2 linked regions of the Diceros bicornis minor genome follow. Each later gene encodes a partner of the first gene's protein in a complex. Links are inferred from orthologs where the notes say so. Each region holds a gene or a part of one and is shown on either strand. Other genes may lie near its edges.

What was found.
Region 2: RBM15B (region 1) and WTAP share a complex: the UniProt entries of both Homo sapiens proteins name them as parts of the WMM complex. The link is inferred for Diceros bicornis minor from reciprocal best matches to the Homo sapiens genes RBM15B and WTAP.

The regions. Positions count from the first base shown.
Region 1 is NC_080741.1:52,147,543-52,155,914, forward strand, and holds the start of RBM15B (putative RNA-binding protein 15B), read left to right. Parts: upstream 1-4,810; 5' UTR 4,811-7,136; coding exon 7,137-8,372. Other genes in the region: MANF (mesencephalic astrocyte-derived neurotrophic factor), read left to right, coding at 1,240-1,324, 2,071-2,198, 2,952-3,093, 4,313-4,497. UniProt on the Homo sapiens protein: RNA-binding protein that acts as a key regulator of N6-methyladenosine (m6A) methylation of RNAs, thereby regulating different processes, such as alternative splicing of mRNAs and X chromosome inactivation mediated by Xist RNA.
Region 2 is NC_080778.1:10,089,754-10,097,522, forward strand, and holds the start of WTAP (pre-mRNA-splicing regulator WTAP), read right to left. Parts: upstream 3,492-7,769; 5' UTR 3,348-3,491; intron 3,172-3,347; exon of another isoform or gene 3,060-3,171; intron 1-3,059. UniProt on the Homo sapiens protein: Associated component of the WMM complex, a complex that mediates N6-methyladenosine (m6A) methylation of RNAs, a modification that plays a role in the efficiency of mRNA splicing and RNA processing.

The sequences.
Region 1 (8,372 bases):
TTTCCCCACTCCCTTGACTGCTGTGATGTGAATTAAAGATGAATACCTGACACTGACCCACTGAATTCACTGAATGGGAGCAGCACAAGTGCCCCTCTCCATCCCTGGTCGCTGGGCTCCAAGTCCTTTTAGCCCCATACAAATGTTTCTGCACTGACCACAGCCAATCTTTCCCACGTCCTGCCTTCAAGGACAGGAAGGCAAGCCTTGCACTTGAAAGGAGAGCAGCCAGAGGAAACGTCCTCCGATGCTTGTTCGCTGACCCAGAGGACTCTACTTCAGGAGGTGCTCTCAGCAGCCAACCCCCCCCCCCCCCCGCTCCCGCCACTGGGAAGCAGGAAGGGGCGGGCCAACCACCTGGGCCAGGCTTCCGGAAGTCGTGAGGAAATGCAGAACTCTTCCAAGAGTGGGGGACAAACCTCCTAAGCCCTCTTATTGCGAGGCGGGATGGTTCTGATCCCAAAGCTACGGCACCTAGCCCCGGCGCTTTCCTGGGTCTAAGACGGCAGCCCGAGGTGAGCCCTTCCGGTGGGAGGTCCTCCAGCCCAGAGCCTGCAAGTTGCCTCCGGTCAGCCGGGGGTCAAGCGAGCGGGCCCCTGAGCTGATAGGGAACTCCGGGCTTGGGCAGCAGGCCTCGCAGACGCTTCTCCCCCCGCCCACGAGATCGTTTAAAAAAAGAAAAAGGAGAGAAACCTCTTCCGAGCCTTGCCTGCGGTCGGCCGCCCTCCCTGCCTGCCCTTGGGTCGCGGGTGAGCCCAGAACCCCTGACTTTCGCGAGTCGGGGCCCTGGGCGGGAAAGTCCGCGGGGTTCTTCGCGCATGTGTGGGGCCCACAACAGCGGATGCGCGAGACAATTCAGCAGGCGCGGCCGGCGTCCGAATCCGACTCCATCCCGCATCGCCCGACTTCGTCCAAAGCCGCTGCCCCAACCCAACATGGCGGCTTTTACCGCTTCCGCCGCCTCCGCGGCCGCTTCCTGAGGACGGCCCTGATTCAATCAGCGGCCGACAACTGTCTAGGGCCGGGGGCGGTGACGCCGCCAGCCAATGGGGAAGGGCAGCGTGGAGCTGCCCGTCTGGGCTCCAAGGCGCGTGGACCAATGGGAGTGAGGCGTGTGGGAGGGTGCCCGGGGTCGCCCGCCAATGAGGAGCTACGGCGCGCGGCCGGGACCCGGAGGCTGCGCAGCGCGGCGGGCGAGGTTCACTCGGGCGGCGGCGGCGGCGGCGGCGAAGCTGGAGGATGTGGGCCGCAAGGGGGCTAGCGGTGGCGCTGGCCCTGAGCGTGCTGCCGGGCAGTTGGGCGCTGCGGCCGGGCGACTGCGAAGGTGCGGCGGGACCGGGGTCCGAGCTCTGTGGCCGGCATGGCGGCGGCGCTGAGCCCAACCAATCCACGGAGCGGCCGAGAGGCCGGGTCTGGAACGGGCGTGGGTGGCGGCGGCCGGCCCCAGCGGGGTCTGCCTGAGGAGGGCCAGACGCCGGGCCTAGAAAACATTTCGTGAGTCTAGAAAACATTGGTCCGACGCGAAAAAGTTGGGACTAGATCATGCTGAAAACTTGGCCTGAAATTGAGATAACGCCGGAGTTTTTGTCCCTTCCCGTCACTAGACAGAGACTTTCGGGAGCGGCCCTGGTCCGGATCGGCAGTCCTGAGGGCCGGCCGTGGGTACCTGGTGGGGTTGCGAGGCTGCACCTCGGGGTTCGGTGTTGTGTTTGGAAATGAGCAGCATTTGGATCGTTTTACTCTTAGGCCTCCAGTTGGTCTATTTATGAGGTCACAGTGAGTCCATCTCAAGGACACGTGTTCAGTCTCGCTTTAAACTTTATGGAAGAAGCAGGGGAGAGTTTGTGGGTCATGGGGTGATGCTCGTTCCCCGCATGCCCTGGGTGTACCAAGGGACCCCAGCAACCTGGAGCTGGGTTCTGCCCACCTGTGGGCACCTGAGAAAAATCGATGATGGAAACACTCGCCTGTCTCTGTCTTTCCTATTAAATTTGCTGACGGGTTTCCCTCCTGGTGGATTGGGGTGCAACTTGGTGATTGCTGAGCATCTCACTTCCCTCTCTTTTCCAGTGTGTATTTCTTATCTGGGAAGGTTTTACCAGGACCTCAAAAACAGAGATGTCACATTCTCACCAGCTTCTATTGAAAAAGAACTAGTAAAGTTCTGCCGTGAAGCAAGGGGCAAAGAGAATCGGTTGGTGAGTAGCTGGTGACCCTCCCCAGCTGGCCTTTCCTCTGCGTCAAAAGCACTGCCCACTTGTCTATTTAGGGGGCCAGCTATCTGTCAGTGAACTAATGCGGGAGTAAACTGCTTTCATATATTCTGCAGTTGTGATGTTTTTCATCCTGTTAATATTGATTAAGCACCTACTGTGTGCTCGGCACTGGGGATATCGGGAGAGAAATGACAGTCAGGCAGACAAATGATGCAGTGGGATGGGTGTCATGAAAAAAAAAAACAGACCAGGATAGTATGGTAGAGAGGGCAGGTGCTGATTTAGACAGAGTAGTCAAGAATCTATCTGAGGAAGGATCATCATTGTGGTGGGGCAAGAGCATCCCAGGAAGAGAGAACAGCCAGTGTGAGTACCCAGAGGCCAGAAGAAGATAAAATGTGCACAGGGTAGTCCAGGGCTGAACTGAGGACAAGAACTCTAATGAAACGATGGCTTTTGTAGCTTTAATTTCCCGGCAGTCTTAGTTTGTCTGTCTCTGTTTAAATGTTTGAACCCTGATGGCTCTCAAACTTATATGGTGGTTGTCAGCTCTGGGACCAAGCATGTATTAAGAGCCGGGGGTTTACACTGATAGAATCTGACTGCCAGTACAGGCAGGGCATGGGGAATTGAGGCCCTGGCAGAGAAGGAAGATGTTTTGAGATGTCAATGTGTTTTGGAGGAGATGGCTCTCGAGTGGCACCTCCTGAAAGGCATTGTCTTTTCTTGCTGCAGTGCTACTACATTGGGGCCACAGATGATGCAGCCACCAAGATCATCAATGAGGTGTCAAAGCCCCTGGCCCACCACATCCCTGTGGAGAAGATCTGTGAGAAGCTCAAGAAGAAGGACAGCCAGATCTGTGAGCTAAAGTATGGTGAGTGTGGCCAGGCCTTATTTAACACACTGTGCCCTCTCTGTGCTGAGGCATTATGGAGTTTACTTTATAGCTGGGAGAGGCGGGGGATAAACTAGAGCCGTCGTGAGTGAGTTATGTAGCATAGTAGATGGTGCTAAAAGAGGAGGTGGGGGCGCGGGGGGGATCTTGCATCATGGTGGGTAGAGGTCAGACTGGGCCTCAGACTTTGAAGGAGGTGGGAGATTAGCCAAGGGGACAGCTAATGGAAGAGCATTCCAGGCAGAGGAAATAGCGCACAGGCAGCCAGTGGCATGACAGATGGGTGGGCAAGTCACAGAGGGCCTTGCAGGTTGGTGAAGATTGGGCTTTTAGTCTGAGTGAAGTTGGGAACATTAGTTTTTGAGCAGAGAAGGGATGTTTTCTGACTCGGGTTTAACACACTTGTCCTGGCTGCAAGCTCTGAAGGCCCAGCAATCTTGATTATTTTGAAAAGAAATGCTGTATCCAAACAGGCAAGCCCAAGAGTTTTGGGCACTGCAGCATCTCTCTGGCTGAATAGGTCTCTGGTAGAAAAAACAGTGTCCAGGTCTTTAGAAGGAGTCAGGGCCAGAAATAGTTGTCCTCTTTTGCAAAATTTAAACAGCACCAACATATTTTATTGTGACCTAAGTGTCCAAGGGCCTGTGTTCCCCTACTTGTATCAAGGATGCCTGGTTTTCTGAGAGTGATCCTTGGACAGGTGCAGTTGACTCAAGGTCTCTCTGTGATCACAAATGGTCATGAGAGTAAGCTCCTGGCTCAGGGGCCTGACCAGGGCCTGTGTTGGGAAGTTGGGGCTAGGGATCTGTCTGCTCTGTCACCCTGGAGTTTTCATGCTACAGTGACTTGGCCTGTACCGTGACTATGTAAGAGGCACTTGGGAGAGTGGGAGCCACATTTCTCCTGTAAGGTTCTTTGTGGCCTTCATCCCTGTCCCTGGCGACACTGCATATCTGTGGTGGACACTGCCAGCATGAGACCAACCTTCCTGGTGAAGAGGCCCGAGCCTGTTCCCCATCTTGGGGGCAGTGGACACTAGCACACCTGGGTGTGTCTGGATATGTCTCTCCCCTCACGACCACTAGGGTTGCTTGTTTTAAGGGGTGATTTGGCTGTGCAGGGGCGATCCATCTTGGGACTATTGGGGGTCCGTGGGTGCTCCCACCCAGCTACTTACTCTCCCTTCTCTCGCCTCCAGACAAGCAGATCGACCTGAGCACAGTGGACCTGAAGAAGCTCCGAGTTAAAGAGCTAAAGAAGATCCTGGACGACTGGGGGGAGACGTGCAAAGGCTGTGCAGAGAAGTCTGACTACATCCGGAAGATTAATGAACTGATGCCTAAATATGCCCCCAAGGCAGCCAGTTCACGGACTGATTTGTAGTCTGGCCGATCCCTGCTGCACCTGAGGGAAAAAAACAGTTCATCTGTGTCTTCCCCAAACAGCATTTTTGTAATTTATTTTTTAGGCGGCTCCTGACAATGTCAGTTGTGAAGCCTGGAGCTTTCCTGATGATGCTGGCTCTACAGTGCCCCCATGGCGGGATTCACTTCGTTCTGTTGCTGGTTTACTCTAGGACTTCAAAGTGTGTCTGGGATTTTTTTATTAAAGGAAGAAAATTTGTAGCTGTCCTTGGAGAATTAAAGTGAATACTGAAATAGGGTTTTACCCCTAATGAAGATCCCACCAGTTTATGCTTTCCGGTTTACAAAGAGTTTTCAGGTATATTCACATTTGTCCCTCAACCACAGGGCTGGACCAGGGGCTGAGGCATGTGGTGTTGTGCAGGACTAGAGGGGAGCCCTGGAGAAGGCTGGGCTTGATACCCGACCCTGCAGTGACTTACCGGCAGGAGGGGCTGGAGGCTGCACAGCTGCTTGCTAGGCATAGGGGATTGAGTCTGATGTACAAGGGAGGGGCTTACCTCAGGGCTCGGTACCCACAGGACTGAGGGTGTGTTTAGTGTGGTTTTCTGGGATGATGACTTCAATAACTGTATATTGAGTGCTGTCATATTTCTAAAGATGCTCTTGGCCTGTCTACCTCCACCAGACACTGTCCAGATCTGGCCATCTACTCACTCATCTGAGTTTGTGGTCTAGTGTCAGTCCCAAGCTTCTAATGCCTAATTGGGGTTTTTGTAAGACTGGCAGGAGTCGGTTTGTACAAAGAGCCAGTGAGAGGCTGCCTTTTGCCTTTTTTACCCAAGATAAGTCTAACAGTTGAGGTCCTGATGGCTTGTCCCCAGAGTCTGATTTTTTAGTTGCTCTCTGTGGGGTTGGTGCTTGGGAAACCCAGTTGTCACCATGAGCTGTGGCTTGATGGAGATACCTCTGTTCCTTGGGCCTGCAGACACTGAAAGGAAGGAGTAAGAAGCTGTGCTTTCCAAGGAATTGGTCTGACCTCCGATCACAGCATTTGTGCAGTTCCTAAATTCAGTTTGACCATAGAAGGGGCCTCAGCTGCTGTGGAGTCCACTAATGCTTGGCAGTGGCAGTCCCACGTTTTGCACCTCTGCAGCACTGTTTCTGAGGAAAGCGAGAAAGTTGAGCCACTTCTCTGGCCAAGACGATCTGAAAAGCACAGTGTCTGTCCTAAGCCCCTGAAAGGTGCTGGGAAAATCCATGGCTGGAGCCAGAAGTCTTAGGAGATGGAGCTGTCTCAGCTTACCACCCTAATCTGTGATCCGGTGGCCTCCGTGCCCTCCAGGCCGCATTGAACAGAGGAACAGGGAAAACAGCCCAACTACTAAGCTCTAGGGCTGACCCCCAAGGTTATCTGAAGAGGTTAACTCCCTTTCTGGAAGCAGATTTCAGGAGGTCGTGCAGTGTTATAGGTGTTCCTTCCAAGACCTCTCCCCTCGCACCTGCCTGAGTTGCTCCAGGAGCTGCTTTATGGTTGTGGGAGGAACTGTGGTGCACTCTTCCCCACCCCATGGTTTCTGTGGCTGATGCTGGGTCAAGTTCTCCGATGCCTCTAGCAACTCTCCCTGAAGAATGAAAGCTTCCTCAAGGGGCTTGGGCCCCTGGACAGGATTCCCCCTCACCTCGAGAGAAGAGGTCCTGCCCCTGGAGGTGGATAGGAGGGCACTGGGCAGCGAAAGGTAAGTGTGTCAAGCTGTGGTAGCTACTGGGTTTGGCCATCTGTTCGCCCCTGGCTCCATGGCCCTGCCGTTACGGCCCGCCGTCTACTCGGATGCCCACAGCATAGTGGCTCAGTGGCGCCAAGGAGCTTATTCCCATCCGTAAACTGCAGATTGGTTCTCGGGTCTCTCTTCCTGGGCCCAGACAGGTATCGTCTTCTGCATGCATAGTCATGGTCATGGCCTTTCGGGGGACCGATGCAGGTGAACCTGAACGCAGAGAATGCCCGGACGGGGCCTAGGGAGCAGGGTTCTTCTGTCCTCGGGGTTGTCAACTCCGGACTCCAGTCAAGAGATGCTGTGGCGGGGAGATGGGAGCCACCCAAGCCTAGTCCTAGTCCTAGTCCTTTTACACCACATAAGAGGCCGCTGGGTCAAGACCCAGCACCTGGGCGCCCAAGGAGGTTGCCTGCCACTCCTGCTCCAATCAGCACGGGCCCCAGCCAGGAGCGGCTGGCCTAGGTCCTGCCTCGCCTGCTAGGGTCGTGGGCAGTGCGAGCCAGCCCGGATCTCGCGTGGAATCCCATCTCTCCTCGTAGCCGCGGCCGCGCGGTGGCGACAAAGCTCACTGCCCGGCTGCGCTTGCCCGGCTGCGCTTGCCCGCCTGCCATGGAGTCACGTGGCGTGGGGCGGCGCAGCCCGATGACGTACGCTCAGCGTAGCTCTCGCCCCGCCCGCCTCGAGGTCACGTGGCGCGGCCGGCGCAGCTTGATAGCGCGACGCCCAGCCCCTGGGCGCCGCTGCTGCCCCGCCCCGCCGTCACCGCCGCACCGAGTCCTTTTGTCCAAGATGGCGGCGCCGGGGGCGCCGCTTCTTCGGCCGCCGCTGCCGCCGTTCTGAGGGGCCTGCGGGCCGCCCGCCCGCCCGCCGCGCCGGCGCCATGAAGAGGCAGAGCGAGCGAGACTCGAGCCCGAGCGGGCGCGGCTCGTCATCTTCGGCCAAGCGGCCGCGGGAGCGCGAACGGGAGGCGGAGGCGGGCGGGCGGCGGGCAGCGCACAAGGCCTCGGGCGGCGCCAAGCACCCCGTACCGACGCGGGGTCGCGACAAACCCCGCGGTAGCGGGGGCGGCGGGGGTGGGCATCGCGACGGCCGCGGGGCCGGGGACGCGAATCACCGTGCGAGCAGCGGCCGCTCCTCGGGCTCAGGCGCCGGCGGCGGGGGACGCGGGGGCAAGGCCTCGGGGGACCCGGGCGCCTCAGGCGCTTCGCCCCGCGCATCCCCATTGCCGCCACCTCCGCCGCCTCCCGGAGCCGAGCCCGCGGGTCCCGGCTCGTCGGCGGCCGCGCCCGAGTACAAGACGCTGCTCATCAGCAGCCTGAGCCCCGCGTTGCCCGCCGAGCACCTCGAGGACCGGCTCTTCCACCAGTTCAAGCGCTTCGGCGAGATCAGCCTGCGCCTGTCGCACACGCCTGAGCTGGGCCGCGTGGCCTACGTGAACTTCCGGCACCCGCAGGACGCGCGCGAGGCCCGCCAGCACGCCCTGGCCCGCCAGCTGCTGCTCTACGACCGCCCGCTCAAAGTGGAGCCCGTGTACCTGCGCGGCGGCGGCGGCGGCGGTGGCGGCGCCGGTGGCGGGAGCAGCCGGCGAAGCAGCAGCAGCAGCGCCGCCGCCTCCACGCCGCCCCCCGGGCCGCCCGCGCCCGCCGACCCGTTGGGCTACCTGCCGCTGCACGGCGGCTACCAGTACAAGCAGCGCTCGCTATCCCCTGTAGCTGCTCCGCCACTGCGGGAGCCCCGCGCCCGCCACGCCGCTGCAGCCTTTGCCCTGGATGCCGCCGCTGCCGCCGCCGTAGGACTGTCCCGTGAGCGGGCCCTGGACTATTACGGGCTGTACGACGACCGCGGGCGTCCCTACGGCTACCCAGCCGTGTGCGAGGAGGACCTGATGCCTGAGGACGACCAACGGGCTACACGCAACCTCTTTATTGGGAATTTGGACCATAGCGTGTCTGAAGTGGAGCTGCGACGGGCCTTCGAGAAGTACGGCATCATTGAGGAGGTGGTCATCAAGAGACCTGCCCGTGGCCAGGGCGGTGCATACGCCTTCCTCAAGTTCCAGAACCTGGACATGGCCCACAGGGCCAAGGTGGCCATGTCGGGCCGGGTGATTGGCCGC
Region 2 (7,769 bases), on another chromosome or scaffold:
TTCCTTCCTTATCTTTAGCTGATGAAAACTCAGTCTTTGAGAGTCCAAGATATGCCACAATAGTTAAATGGACAGTCAGGCAAAAGGCAAATCAGAAAAGGTTTAAAATTTAAAAGGATCAACATTCAACTATTTAGTCAAAAATAGAACCTGGTTTTCAATTTTGTCTTTCACACTGCATGAATGTGACAAGAAATTTATTATTCCCCAAGGCAATTTTTTCAGCACAACTGACAAGCACAATAACTATCTAATGTCAAGTCTAGATACATAAAGACAATGGATATTCCATGGTCTTGGGATCATCTATTTTCATATCAGAAAAACAGAATGACTGAAATATCCTTTGGAGTTGAACCCTGAATCTTGAAGGAAAAAAAAAATGAATATATACTCAGTACTATGAGTCATTTATAATAACTTTTCAAAGTCAAAATTAGTCTATTTTCCAAAGGTGAAAATGATTAGGAGTCATTGGATGATTAGCTCAGGTTAAAACAGCTGGTAATTAATAAATTGGGGGTTAGGACCCCAAATTCAGTGCCTCTCAAAAGTTGGTAACTGATGAAGATCGATAATTCTCCCATTCCCTCATCCTCATAAGGATTAAGCCTAGCCAAAGTAGAGAATGCAGAAAAGCAAAATAGAAAAAAGTCAAAATTGGCCAATTTGGCTACCTGGTTTAAGATTGGTTAACACATGGTTTTCAACTTATGTAAAGGTTTCAGTTATTCATGTGGATAATTCAGAGATAATATAGCTCTCAAGTTTAGAACATCAGAACCATCATCTACTCTTGATGCCTTAACAATGAGAAACAGTTTATGATGGAGAATTCAGTTTTGGTTGGCTGGGTGCCTAGCACCCCAGATCCCAATACGCCCCTGGCTCTTAGCATTATGATCCTAAGAGGGGCAAGCACCAGCGAACACAACTTCAGTAAGAAAGCACGTACCTCGCCGAAACCAATCATAACTGAACACAAAAAGCTAATAATCTGACACTATGGTAGAAACGGTACCAGTTGGGAATTGGAAGACTACCTTTCCTGACTCTTGTACATCAGTCACGCGGTCTTAAGTCATTTAACTCTGGGCTGCAGTCTCCCAGTCAGCCAAAAGAGGATACCAATTTTGCCTGCCTCACACAGTGCAGTAAATCTCAATGCTTTAAGTGCCATAAAAATGCTATACAAACAAAGGACTTTTCAAATAAAATACTAACATCAACATAAAAGATAATTTTAACGTGCATTTAGGAAAGATTAAATTCCACCCAACATTTTCAAGGAAGAATATTTATTTATGGCACGGAGTTCTAGTCCGATGCATCTTAATACACAATAGCATATACTGTTACTGAAAAGCTTTTCGCTGATAAGCTTAGTAATAGAAAATATTTAGAGGCAGAAAAAGTTGGAGATAATTTGCAAAATAAAAACAAGAATAAAATGAAATACTACCTAGGTCTTGTTTGGCTACAGGTCCTGCCAATAGAAAATTTTTAAGAGCAAGAAAAAAATTTTTTTCAAGAGCCAGATAATATACAGTTCCATGAAAATGATCAAAACAGCTAAGTAAAGAATATTTTCAAGGGGATTCTATACTACAAACATACAAGACTGTAAGGGACTTTGAAAGCTGTAATGTACTGTACAAATATAATTATCACAACTCTCATCTCTACATGACAGGGCTGCTACAGATTTTCTACATCATATATACCAAGTCATTTCTAACAAATAATACACAAAAATATTTTGAGCAAGCTTGACTCAAAATTTAATCAGGAAATCTAGGTATTATGAAGTTCTATAAATTAGTGCCTGGCACACACTTTTATTATTACTTTCGTCCGTTGGGACTTAGAAATTTGGGTAGTTTGCCTAAGTTCCACCAATGAGAAGTGAAAATACCGATCACTTAGCTATAGCTATCTGCTAAGACAATGTAAGACCTAAAAAAAAACGTCTAGAAATACACTCAGCCAAACCCTTAAAATTTAACCTCATCCTCCTTATCACAAGCCACCTCGTGGACTGCAATTTCTTTCCCCAATTTGCCTAAGCACATGCTACTGAATAACGAGTAAATAAATAAAATTTAGCCATCTTGAAAAGATTTTCACACATGGTTTTTTCTGACGGGGTTTTAAACGTCTACAATATATTTATCTATTACAGAAAACTTAATTGTCAAAGTTTAAAAATCATAAAACGGGTAGAACTTGTGGTGATAAGACCTGTGACTTCCATTTACCTTCCTCAGCAATGGAATTAGCTAAATTCTAAGAAATGAAAAACCGTCAGACGGACAACTCACGACCGTAACACGCTCATGAAAATACTTCTCTACCTCGGGCAAAAGAATCGTTTTTTTACTTTATAAGCACTGTTTTTTAAGATTTTAACATAGTCCTTTGGGATCAAATATCCAACTGACTTCATCAAAACAAGAACTTGGACTTTTCCACTGTGTGTTCCCTACTGACTCATGAAACATGGTTTTAAAAAAATCAACTAGTAACAGACTTACAGGGATGCAAGATGAGACTTTAAAATCTCACGAATATCTCGAAGTAATTGAAAAAGAAATTCTTTTTTTACGCAGAACGCATACAACCATTTAAAAATGGAAGTCTCCGGGAGAACGCAGCTGCAGTCATACCCAACTGCGCGACGTGAAATCTGGGCAACTAGCGCCGCTTCCCTTCCCTGGCTCAACTCGTCAGCACCGCCAGTCCCCGGATCCGGCCGCGGGGGTGGGAGGGGGCGACACCGACGCGGGGACAGGACGCCACCGAGGGGGCGGCCTCCCGGGCTCGCCGGCCCGCGGGAGCGCTCACCTCGCCCCCGGCGACGCAGAACGGAGGTAAGACGGGCTCGGGGCGGCGGAAGCGTCCCCGCAAGAGGGCAGGCGGCGCGGCTAACAGGGGGCCAGGGGGCCGGGGGCCCGGGAGCCCCGAGCCGCCCTCGGCGCTCTGTCCACCCCTTCCCGAGCCGGGGCGGCCGCACCTCAGCCCTTGGGACCCGGAGGTCCTCGCGGCCGCTCCACACCTACCTCTCCGGACGGAGGCCGCGCCGGCGCCCCTCAGTCACATAGGCCGAGGCCGCGCTGCCCCTGCCGCCCAGGCCGCCCGACCGCGCTCCGCCGGCCCCCGCGCGCCTCCTCCCGCCGCAGCCCCGACAATCCCCTTTATTTGCGGGTCTCGCTGCCACAAAATGGCGCTCAGGGAGGAAGCGAGGCCCCGCCGCCCCACCCCCTTCCCGCTCCTCCCGCCGCCACGCCCCGCCCCACCCGCCCGCCGTCCGCGTCTCCGCCCCGCCATGTTCGCTCCGGCCCACTCACCGACGAGTCGCCTCCCAGAAGCGGCCGCACTACCCGGCCACCGCAGGGCCCCGCCGCGGGGAGGAAGGCGAAAGGACCGCGCCCGGCCGGCGCCTCGAGGCGCCCAGGGAGGAGCTACGTCTTGGTGGCACGCCCCGCGGCCTCCGGGGCGCCGCAAGCTCGGCAGGGCGGGGAGGGAAGCGGGCCGCCGGGAAGGCTGGGCCGCGAGGTCGGAGGTCAGCTGCGGGGCATCACGGGAAGGGCGGCGGGGGTCGCGATTGGCGGCGCGGAGGGGAAGCGCTCGCCGGGCCACCTGCGGCTGCGGCGCGGCCTCTGGCGGAGGAATCTGGGCGAAGGTGGCGTGTGATTGGCCTCTGCGGTGCAGCGTCCGTCTGTGATGCCTCCGCGCGCCGGTGGGCCAGGTGCAACCCCGGGAGCGGGGCCGTGGGCGGGGACTGGGTCGGTTTAGGCTTCGGTCAGCTTCCCTGTTTAAATTTTCATCTCTTAGAAACCAATGCTCCCTCTTCCGTCGTGAAGTGCAGCCTCCTGGCCGCTTGGTTCGTCCCTGCCTTGACATCTCGAGGCGAAACCGAGGAGCTATTGTCTGGCAGATGGAGGTTGTGCTAGGGGCACCTTGCTAACTCGGAAGCGAGGCGAAGGCGAACCCTGGGAGGTTTTAATGAACCCATTAAAATAAGTTTTGTAATTTGAATATACTGCCCTACACAAGACTTTGTGTCATCCAGACCATTGCATAAGAACGATGGAGTTACCTGGTAAACGTATAACAGCCTCTTTGCACTTGCTACACGGGTCAGGTAATTCTTTTGATTGGCCTGCCTTTATCCGGCTTTACCCAAACTGTTTATCCCCAAAGGAGGTGTCCCGGAATGAGATGATTTATGAGGATAAGATTAAAGTATGCTCCAGATGGTCAGAGGGATCATGGTGTATTCCCAGGAAATCAGATCAGTATGAAGAAAATATTTGCAGCTTACATCACAGGAACTCGTAAAAACTGAAAAGAAAAAGACCCAAATCCGAAGAGAAAAATGGGCAAGGACATGAAGAGACAATTCACAGAAAAGAATAGCAGTGGTCCTTAAAGGTAAAAGGCTGTTCATCCTCCTTACTATGGAAATGCCCATTGAAATTACAAGGCTCCAGAGAGACGGTGTTCATAAGTTTCCTGGTGGGAATCGGAAAATGATTCAAGCCCTATGGGATACTAACATTATATGTGCATTTACTCTTGTATCTTGCAATTCCTTTTCTAACCCCAGCCTTATGTTGAAAATACACCTCCAGAAATAGAAACAACACTTAGGCAAGGTTATTTGTCGCAGTGTTACTTGTCATAACAAAAGTTTGGAAATAACTCAAACGTCCATTAATAGGGAACTGGTTGGACATGATGCATCCTTACAATGGAATATAATGCAGCCATGAAGAAAGAATGAGGACAATATTTATGTGTTGCTTTGGAATGAGTTGTAGGTTATATGGGAAATTGGAAGGATATCCTAGAAACAATAAGAATGTGACCTATAGAGGGTGATGGGGAGGGGTGGAGGGGAAAGAAATGATAGCAAGACTTCTTGTAGCAGGAAAAACCCGGGACCCTGTCACTGCAGCCGACTCAGTGAACACAATGACCAGGGATCGAGGAAAAGAAAAATGGTTTAATTTTGCTGGCAAAATGAGGCTGCCATGGCTCATGCGCCAAAACCCACAGTCCTCCTGAGGCATTAGGAGTTGGGGTTTTTAAAGGAAAGTCTGTGGGAAAGAATGTACTCTTGTGACTGTGATTATTTTCTGGGGGGGAGTATAGTGGGGATCCCAGACCTTCTGGCACTGGGCCAACTGTTATCCCTATCTACAGTAGGAGGTTTAGGGCTCCGTTGATCAGTCTTCCCACTCCACCTCTAATTGGGCCCTGGGGAGAGGAAGGCAACTGCTGCCAACTAACGATTACAAAGTTTACAAGTTTTAGATAGGAGAGGGGGAGCTGTGGCTTTGTAGTTCAGGGTCCTCCCATCAGCCTGCGTGCGTTTGGCGGAGATGAGGGAAGCTGCAGGTGTCCTCTGTCTCCGTGATGAATGGTGGATTCAGCGCCAGGAACAAGGGAGTTGCGGAGCTTCAGCTTCTTGGTAACTTTTGGATGTCAGTTTCCCTACAGCAAACCTCAAGAACTGGTCATTAGCCAGAACTTCAGTGTGAAGCCACCTGGGCTTTTAACAATTTAAGCAGGGAAAGAGAATGAGTGCTTTTTGGTTTTTAACCCCATATATCCTGGGTTCAACTTGGGTAACTGATATCAGGGCCGGCATCATTCTCTGACTTTGAACTTTTAAAGTTTTACATAAAGTAAATAATAAAGGAAACAAAGTAAGCCCCAAGTTGAAAGCAAATTAAAACAAATGAACTTTAAGCAAGTTGGTAACATAACTATGTTGTTACACAGAAAAAAGAGTTCTTCCACCAGGGCTTTTGAACAGAGTACTTTGAGAGAGTATCTGTGATGGGATATATTCTAAGGATAAAAAAGAAATGCAAAGGAATCTTTAGCTTCACTCAGTGGTTTATAAGTAATGGTAATATTGGTGCTGTAGTTTTGAAACTATATTGTAGGATAACACAAGTATTTTAATGTTATAATGTACAAGACTTTCAGTGTAAGAGAAAATGAGATGCAAATATAAGATGAAGGAAGTGCAGAAAGAACCTGTGATACATTTAAATTGGAAATATCAATTTGAGCACAAGATTTTTATAATAAATTACCTAGTTCTGTGCACTGAAAGGAAGCACTAGGGTAACAAATTGTCCCAGTTTGCCAGGAACTGAGGGGATTTCCCGGGATGCTGGACTTGCCCTATTAAAACCGAAAGTGTCTCAGGCAAAGCAGCATGTTTAAATCACGGTACAGTAACACTGAGCAAACTTGCCACCCAGATCAGGGTTTCCAAGTTCCATTTCCTCCTAGATAGATCCAGCGCTGATTCCAGTTCTGCGACAGGGAAATGACAAGATGAGTCTGATATTTTTGTTGTGCCTGAATGCAAAGGAAGGCTTTGACTAATGAAAATATGTCAATAGGACTTAAAAGACCAATGTAACCTATAGTGATAGAAATCAAAACTGTGCTGGCTAGGAGGGGAAAGGAGCAGGAATCGACTGGAAAGGAACATGGGGGAACTTTTTCGGGTGATGAAAATATTCTACATCATGATTAGGGTGGTGGTTACCCCGGTATATACATTTGTCAAAATTCATCAAACTATACCACTAAAGTGGATGCATGTAATGTAAATTATACCTCATATAAATTATTATTATATATTATACCTCAATGTGGGAAAAAAAGAAGACCAACCAGATGAGAAAAGCAAAGGCTATTTATTCAGAGCTTGCTATAGCAAGGGAGTCAGCCACCATCACTTGTGTTGGGCAGAGACTCACAGGCAGGCAGAGGAGTGGGAAAGCTTCATAGTGGAAAAGGAATGGTGTGCCTGATGGAGGCTGTGGGTACCGAGAAGCTGGAGGCAGCTAACTAGAAGTGGGGCATCTGTGTGATTGGTTAGGTGTGTATTTGGTTTTCTCTGGTTGGTTCTAAGTTGGAAGAGGGGACAAACATTAGGGAAGCTGTCACTTTTTAATCAAGTCCTGGCCATTTTCAGCTGATTGTTACAGAAGGTATTGTTTAGTTTCCTGGATTGTTACTTGCGATAGTCTGACTTCCTCCAGGTTTGACTTATAGCAGGCTAACTTCCTGGGCTGGTTATTATAGATGAGGGGGCTGGTTTCCTGGGCAGGTTGCTGCAGGTTGTGGGTCAAAATTCTATTTTTATATGTGGTCTGGCCATGTCCATTTGTATATTCGAAAGTAAATAGTCTTCAAAAGTAAATTTGAAAAAGACACAGGAGCCAGCTTGAGGGATCTCCTATAGGCCAAATTTAGGGCCATTTCAGCATCAAAAAGAAAATGACTACAATTGATTGTAAATACCAAATAGATAAAAATCTATGACTCTAGGGGCTGGCCTGGTGGTATAGTGGTTAAGGTCACGAACTCCACTTCGGTGGTCCAGCGTTCACTGGTTCGGATCCCAGGTGTGGACCTGCACACCGCTTATCAAGCCATGCTGTGACAGGCATCCCACATATAAAGTGGAGGAAGATGGGCATGGATGTTAGCCCAGGGCCAATTTCTCTTAGCAAAAAGAGGAAGATTGGCAACAGATGTTAGCTCAGGGCTAATCTTCCTCATTAAAAAAAAAAAATCTATGACTATAGTTATACTTGATGAGTGAGAAAGGGGGGCAGGGGACTATTTTTCCATCATTGGAAATGACTATTACAAAACTTCTTACTCTGAAAATTAGTTATTAAAGGGAAAAAATAGTATTTGCCCTGCCTTTTTAAAAAAAGAATTGTGGTTCA